2 linked regions of the Rattus norvegicus genome follow. The protein of the gene in region 2 interacts with the protein of the main gene of each other region in a biochemical or structural test. Links are inferred from orthologs where the notes say so. Each region holds a gene or a part of one and is shown on either strand. Other genes may lie near its edges.

What was found. The genes of interacting proteins can lie anywhere in the genome.
Region 1: of the proteins of Stat1 (region 2) and Prkcd, one has a biochemical effect on the other in vitro, tested with the Homo sapiens proteins (2 studies listed by BioGRID). The link is inferred for Rattus norvegicus from reciprocal best matches to the Homo sapiens genes STAT1 and PRKCD.

What each region holds. Positions count from the first base shown.
Region 1 is NC_086034.1:5,803,039-5,807,308, forward strand, and holds the start of Prkcd (protein kinase C delta type), read right to left. Parts: upstream 2,802-4,270; 5' UTR 2,573-2,801; intron 2,288-2,572; exon of another isoform or gene 2,189-2,287; intron 1-2,188.
Region 2 is NC_086027.1:56,913,918-56,917,428, reverse strand, and holds part of Stat1 (signal transducer and activator of transcription 1-alpha/beta), read left to right. Parts: intron 1-34; coding exon 35-110; coding exon of another isoform or gene 111-114; exon of another isoform or gene 115-443; intron 444-1,023; coding exon 1,024-1,123; intron 1,124-3,511. UniProt on the Homo sapiens protein: Signal transducer and transcription activator that mediates cellular responses to interferons (IFNs), cytokine KITLG/SCF and other cytokines and other growth factors.

The DNA of each region.
Region 1 (4,270 bases), on a different chromosome or scaffold from region 2:
ACAGAGGCCTAGAGATATCCTGAACAGAAGGAATGGCAAAAGCAGCATAGTGCACTGGCCTAGGTATCCTGGCATTTCCACAGGCTGGGTCTCCTCAAAAGGCCCCAATCGCCCAGCTAGAGACCCCTTGCTACTTCCTGGACACAGCAGCAGCCTCGGGCTTTATCTTTCCATCGTCCTTCAAATTATTTCTAGCTTAAATTTAAACTCCAATTAGCTGTGCCAGGTAAACGGTGTCAGAGCCCAGCAGGAGTCACAGTTCTGAGTCACCCCCACACCTCCCATCACAGCTACAGAGACTGGGGGGCCGGCTGGGTGGGGCTGAGCAGGGCTGGGTCCTGACACTCTACGAAGAAGCCCTCCTTCTTGCAAGCAGCCTAGTCAGGGAGACAGGAGAGGCAACCTATTGGGAACTCCCTAGGTTTTCACTCATCCCAGATTCCAGGATGGGACACACAGCCAGGAACGAGCCCCGCATGCACAGCCCTCTCAGTGTGGCCAACACTGCTGAGGAGCCACTGTCCTCGGAGTCTTCACTTTCTCAGCCACACAGGCTGGGCATGGGACTCTGGCTCCTAAAGGGCATGGTAAGTGACTCCACTGCTTTTTTTGGTCTAGAACCTGAGTTCTCAATCAGACCATTATAACCCCAGGTCTTGTCCCTAGCGTTCCCCATCTCCTCAGGAGTCAGGGCCGGGTTTGTGCATGCCAAGCACACACCCAGTGCCTCCTGCACACTCATAAAAACATGCAGAGCCAGGTATCACCTTCCCTCCTCACCTCTTATCACACCCCTCCTGTTGCTATTACCTACACTGAGCCTCTCTGTTACCCACAACCACCATCACTCCATCACTTCTCAATACACACCCGCAGTTTCATACAGTCAGACTGTGAGTCTCCTACCAGTCACCCTCTCCCACCAGAGTTCTACACTGCAGTGTCACCTTCCACACAGCCCTGTCATATACCTGAGCCTTTACAATAGCATACAAAGATACTGTCACACACACACACGCACACACACACACACACACACACACACACACACACACACACACACCAGCTGCCCTTTGCTGGCCTGTTCACCACACCCCAGTCTAATCCATACCAGGAATGAGGAAACCCAGTCCCCTCCCCTCTGTACCTGATCAGCTTGGTCACAGAAGATCAGCAGCGGAAGAAGATGAACCACTTACACACTCACAAGCCTAGGGGGTTGGCACACCAATAGTGTGGGCTCCCACAGTTAAAGGACTCATGGTCATTGTGATAGAGTGCACAGACTTTTGGGACACACAGGGATGCGGATACATAAGCAGGTCAAAGCACAAAAATGTAGAGGGGAAGCCAGTGACAAGACATGATGTATATGAAGTTGGATGTGGCACACATCGAGCCTCAGAACACACAGACAGCCATATAAGTACAAGCAAGTCACACATGAAAAAGGACACATTCACTGGGGAAGTCCCACTATGACAAACATTACACAAGGAGACAAGATACACACCATACCCACAGGTCCTACACCGATACTACGACAACAGAAGCCAAACTTCTCCAAGGGCTCAGGGTAGGGGCCAAAGGAAAAAGGAATCTCCCCCACTCATTCTAAATCCTACAGGTTTGAGTGGAGTACTTAATGAGGATCGCTCCTCTCCCCTCCCCTGTACTGAGGGAGTTGGGGAAGTGGGAGCAGTTGTGAGGGGCCTCCTTCTCCACTGCCAGCCAGCAGGGCACTCCCGTCACTGCTGTCCTTGTCACCTTACTGGGCCCCCAGAGCGGGTGGCGTCTCTCCTGCGGGTCAGAGACTGACAGCACCAGGCAGAGGCTACCCGGGGAAGGGGCTCAGAGGATCCGAGAGGACGGGGGAATGGTGGAGGCTGGAGCCACGCCCAGCACAGAGACAGATGCAAGGAAAGCCAAGAAAGACACCGAGACAGAAAGAAGAGATAGGACGAGGAGGCGGCGCCGCCAGAGTCCGCCCGCCTGGGACCCAAGCACTGGAGGCTAAGGAGACCGGCGGCCGGGCCTCCGCCCGGTGGTGAAAAGGAACCGAGACTGGACTGGCAGGGGCGGGCGAGCGTCGGCTGGGGGTGCGGCTCCCGGAGGACTGGGTTGAGGGGGCGGCGGGTCTGGTGGGGGTGGGGAGATGGAGTACACGGACGACGAGGAGCAAACGGACCTGGCCTGGGAGCAGAGGATCAGGCAAGAGGGGGTGGGGGCCGACGAACGTGCAGAGGCCCCAGGGAGATTCGAGAAGATCGGACGACCCTCGGCGGGGCTGAGGACACACAGCGGGGTAAAGATGCTGGGAGTAGTCGGGCCTGGGCTCCAGCCGTCGAAGAGAGGGTCAGACGGACCAGAGTACCGAGGCAACCGCGGGTCTCTGTGCTCGGCGGGACTTTGGCTGCTCGTGGCTCAGTTTCTCAGTTTCAGAACCCGGAGTCGGAGAAGGAAGGGGGGAAAGGAGGCTACGGGCGAGAGAAAGCGGGGGGGGGGGGGGGGGGAAGGCCTCTGCGCCCTCGAGTTAACTCGGACCCCGCGCCTGGGCCCAGCTCTCACTCACCTCTCGACGCAGGGCCAGACACCAGGGGTCCCGGCGGGCCCGGGTCCGTCTCGTGGCGCGGCTCTCCCGGATGCGCGTGGACGGGGAGGTCGACACGAGTCTGATCAGGACGGGCCCGGAGGCCAGTGGGGACCTCCCGGGTCCCGGCAAGAAGGGTAGATGTTCAGGGGCCGCTCGCGGGATCCCCGCGGCCGCCGCCTCCTGTTCTGGCGCCGCGGCACACGGAAGTGCGAGGGGGCGGGACTGCGCGACCTCACCCAGGTGCCGGCCCCGGTCCCGCCCCCACTCAGGATCCGCCCCACGGGCGCCCGCCCCTTCGAAGCTCCGCCCACGAAAGCTGGGGGTCCGGCACGTCTCAACCTCTTTCAGTTGCAGGTTCTTTGGTCCCCAGGTCTGTTACCCGTCTCTGGCTCTTGTGGTGCCTCGCCTGCCAGTGGCACGCAGGTCACCCCTCCTCAGGGGACTGTTTTATAGAGGAGGACTCCGAGGCCAAGTCGGGGGGCACAGCACACACAATGGAGCCCAGGAGGCAGCGGCGGGGCTTCCCCAACTACTTGCGCCCACGCCCGGGACTCCCCACTGGCCAGCTGGCCTGCCTCGCCTGGCCTCATTCCTCTTCCTGCTGGCTTGTGCAGAGCCATGGACGGGCTCAGTGCCCGCCGCCAGGCCTGCCGGTTCCAGCCCTGCCGGAGAGAAGGAGCTGGGAGGTCTCCAGGGCGAGAGGCTCTAGCCAGTCTGTCTCAGCACTGCCCCCATCTTCACACCCTTTTCCTGTGCCCACCATTAGAGCTCCGCTCGATCAGTCAGGCGCATAAAAGGAATTTGATTGTCAGCTGTAACTCATTCACTCATTAAGGGTCCCCTGGGCCCAAAGTCTGAGCACCAAATGGGAGCCAGGGCGTCCATTCTTCTGTCCCCAAAGCCCAGAACGCTAAGCTGTTGCATTATAGTTACCCAAAGAAATGACTTCCTGAACTAGGCAGATGATAGTTTGTCTAGCACGCAGATAGCTCTGTGTTTGACCCTCACCACAGAGTAAACCACGGATAGAGGCTCAGAATGATACTTCAGTGCTGGGGGCGGGAGGAAAGCAGGAGAAAGGGGAGCTCATCGAGTTCAGCCTCAGTTACATAGCAAGTGGATGGCAGCCTGGCCATGGGAGGCTCTAAACAAAAACAAAACAAAAAATAAAATAAAAAAGATAACTCTTCCTGCTGGGAGGATAAGAGGGTTCTGGTATCCCGAGATCCCTAAGGTCCTTCTGGGAAACTATCTAGAAGGAATACAAGTCTAGACAGCTCTTTGCAGTCTGAGATCAAGAGAAGCGCCCCGCCCCATTCCACCTGTGGAGGTTTGAGACTTCCAGGGATGGGGGAACCTGGCGTAAATGAAGGTCTCCAAACCTTATTTTGAATGTACACTGGGGATTGAGCTAGGGAGAGGAAACCACAATGACTCGTCCTTCTGTAGAAAGAGGAAGGCCGCTGGTTCCCTGTCCCCTGAAAGAGGGCCCCCGTTTGAAAGTTAGTATTTAGGTCCCCAGTCCTGATAACTGTCCCCACCCCGTGACAGCGACTTTGACCAAATTAGATTCCTTCTGGAAAGACAATCTCCTTTCTCCTCGAAGCAGGCTTGTGAGCATTCTGTTTCCTGGGTCATTCCCTAGTGACAGTCCTCTACCTGCCTCAGCTGTGTCTT
Region 2 (3,511 bases):
TAATGTGAAGTGTATATGGTGTGCTTGCTTGTAGCACCAGAACCGATGGAGCTCGATGACCCTAAGAGAACTGGATACATCAAGACTGAGTTGATTTCTGTGTCTGAAGTGTAAGTGAGCACAGAAGACTGGCTTGTTGAGAACCTCAAGCCAGCCCCATCCCTGGCCGGGGCTCATTGATTGCACTGTCTCGAGGCTTGCTTTCCCAATGTAACTGATGTTGCCACCACAGTTGGACGTTCTGGAAAGATCCTAACTAGTCCTGGTATCAGTGCTTACTGGCGTTTTACTGCCATAAGATTAAAAAACAAAATACCAGCAACAACAACCTGCCACCCCAAACCCACAATAAACAAAATAAAAATGAAACAAAGTTGTATGTAAGGACTCCCCAAACTGACACTTGAAAAGAAAAAAAGCATGAATAAAAACAACCAAAACTCGACGAGTGGGAAAGCAGTTCTTTTTCAAGCAAAGGCCAAAGTTGGAACTGGGGTCCGTTTTCTCCGCTTGCTTTGATTCTGTCGTTTCAGTCCATAGAAGGTAGGAAGTGCTGGAAAAGTCATTGTCAGTTATTTGCTTGCGGCACTGTCTGGGGGTGAATGGATGTAGCCTTCATGTAGAACCCTGTGGAGCAGCCTTATCTGCATAGACCTCAAGGTAGGGAAGAGGGATCCCCCAGACATCTCTTGGTACTTTTCTGTCCAGGGTGAGCCTCGAGAGTCCACCACCTCAGGACAACACTGCACATCTTCACACTGAGGCTCCCCCAGGCCGTAGTGGTATAGGCTTCAGTCTGGCAATTGCTCATGTTTAAATTCTAGTGTATCCCAAGGGGCCGGGCCGGGGACATAAACCTCCCATGATCTGTACTGTGTGAGATTCGTTCTATACAGTGTATGTTTTTCTGACATGAGAGTATGAAGTGATCACGCAGCCTCAGATAGACAAAGTGTCTCAGCTTGCACTAAGGCCTCTGTAACTCAGGTGTTGACATTGCCCTTTCCTCTCTCTCTATTCCAGCCACCCTTCTAGACTTCAGAGCACAGAAAACCTGCTTCCCATGTCTCCAGAGGAGTTTGACGAGATGTCCAAGATAGTGGGCTCTGAATTTGACAGTATGGTGAGTTCTGTGGCAGGGGTATTTCCACCTTGGGAAGACCTGAGGCAGGCTGGTACTGCATCAGATCTGGAGTCTGCTGTAAGGAGCCCAGAGAAGGGTCTCTCCCTCTCCCTCTTCCTCTCCCCTCCTCCCTCTCCCTACCTCCGTCCTTCCCCGCCCCTCTCTCTCATGAGCCTGTGTTTCAGCTAGCTGCCTCATCAGCAGGATTTCTTTGTAGCATTTCACATTTCTGTCCCCTGTGACGTAAAAAGGTCTGGCCGTGTATTAAGTTCACACACTAAGGGATCAAGATTGTTTTCAGAGGCAGACGTTTTCCCGTGCCTGCTGTTTCTATCTGAGCCTCAGTAAAGGACTTACTGTAGGAAAGGATGGATGCCCGCCAGTTACATCGACTGCACACTGCCTAGCAGTGGTAGACAGTTCTGCCTGCGTTATATCCGAGACCTAACTCATTCTGCCGGCTTCTGAGGCTATCAAGGACTTGGGCAGAATGAATGGCTCGGAGGGTGACTTACTGGGTATCAATGTCTAAATAGAAACACGTGCTTGCAAAAGAGAACGTCTTCTTTCGGGAGAATGTTTTTCAGTGGATTAAATAGTACCGTTTGTCCTTCAGCCTGAAGGCCTTCATCACGCAGGTTTTGTTTGGGTGACTGGAGTTTTGCTGATGCTGATTTCAAGCTCTGGAGTCAGTCCAGTTCATTTTTCAAAGCTTGCCTGATGCGTTCAAAAACAATTCCCTCAAAGCTACTGCAGGCTTTCCTTCATCAATGCGCGCTTTGTGCATTTATCTGTTTGTGTTCAGTAATGAGAGGGAGGGTCAGAATAGGGGATGGGAGAGAGAGGGTGCAGAATGCATGGCTAAAGCTTCGTGCACCCGCATTCATGTGCTAGGCGTGCTAGAATGTCATCTCAGTGATGCGTGTTTCTCCTGCGTGACTTTGACTTTGGTCTTCACCTCACTGAGCACACTACGAGTCCTAGAGAACACCTTACAGCCTTCTGACCCTTGAGCATTCCTAGTATGATTCCAAAATAGCTGTTTTCTTCATGAAATGAGACTTTGGTCCAGGTAACCTAGCACCGGTTAGTTCTGTGAAACATGCTTTCTAAGTCTCATATGAAAATGGAGTAATGGTGAAGCTTGATTCAGAAAATGTAAAACAGATCAACGGGGCCACCACACAGGGCAAGCTTTCACACCTCCTTTGCTAAGAAAATCACCTTACCGTCGCCACCCCTGCCACCAATGGGTCATGCGTGTCAAGCTTCTCCCATGCACCCGGCAGGAGCCGTTTGCGTCTGTTTGTGAAGGCAGTGCCGGGTGAGAAGCCTTTGATTGGAACTTGGCATGTGCTGTTCCAACTGTCATCACCATTGTAGTCTGTGACATAGAGAACTAAGCTGTTCGTTCCTCAGTCTGTGCAAAGAACACTGCTTTCAGTACGCCGGAAGGCAATACTGTGGGGCCTCTTCCACCTTCACACAAATTCCAGGAATGGGTTTGTAGTCTTTGGACGCCCCATGTAGCTATTGTATTCCAATGGTTTTTTTTTTTTTTTGTCTAACATATGGAATAGATACATAGAGATATAAAGATACATTAAATTTGTGTGTAATAAGTGTGCACTCATCACAGTCGTCTCCAGGCAGACCCCAACAATCCCAGGGACTCTAGCAGAGGCCCTGCTCTGCTTAAACAAGGGAAGAATGAGACTGGCCTGTCAAATCCCTGTAACTACCACCACGTGCTCTGCCCCCAACCTTATTCTTGACTTCTGTCCAGCATTTGCTTTTAGAATTAGAACACATGAGCTAAGTGAAATCCAAGCAGTCGGGAGGCTGAGACAGGAAGGTCTCATGGTGGAGGCCACGAGACTACATAGAGACTCTGTCACAAAACAAAACAAAAAAAAATGGAATTAGTTGTGTGCTCTGAGGTGGAGGTGGTCCATGATTAAAAAGGTACTTGGGGTTGATGGTTGGTCCAGCCTTGGCTCTCGAGGAATTGTCCAGTACACTGGTGCTCTCTGTAATATGACCTGGATATTTATTAGTCTAACATTTCCAAACAACAAGTCTTGTCCCTCTGGACTGGAATAGACCTAGCCTACTTGCCTAGAGGCCTTTGTCCAGAGCTCATGCTAACAGATTGTCTACGACATTTTATACATGCTTTCAGTCTTATACTTTGACCAGACCTATGTGTTAGGCACTATTAGCCAACTTAGCACATGAAGGACTTGAGGTTTACAGAGGTTAATAAGCCAGTCGCAGAGTAACAGGATGTGGGTGTTTCTTCATCTCTCTCTCCCCGTCTCCCTTGCTTCTACAGTATACCATTTTAACTGCCCATTTGTGCCATCGGCCAGACTGCAACTGGGGGCA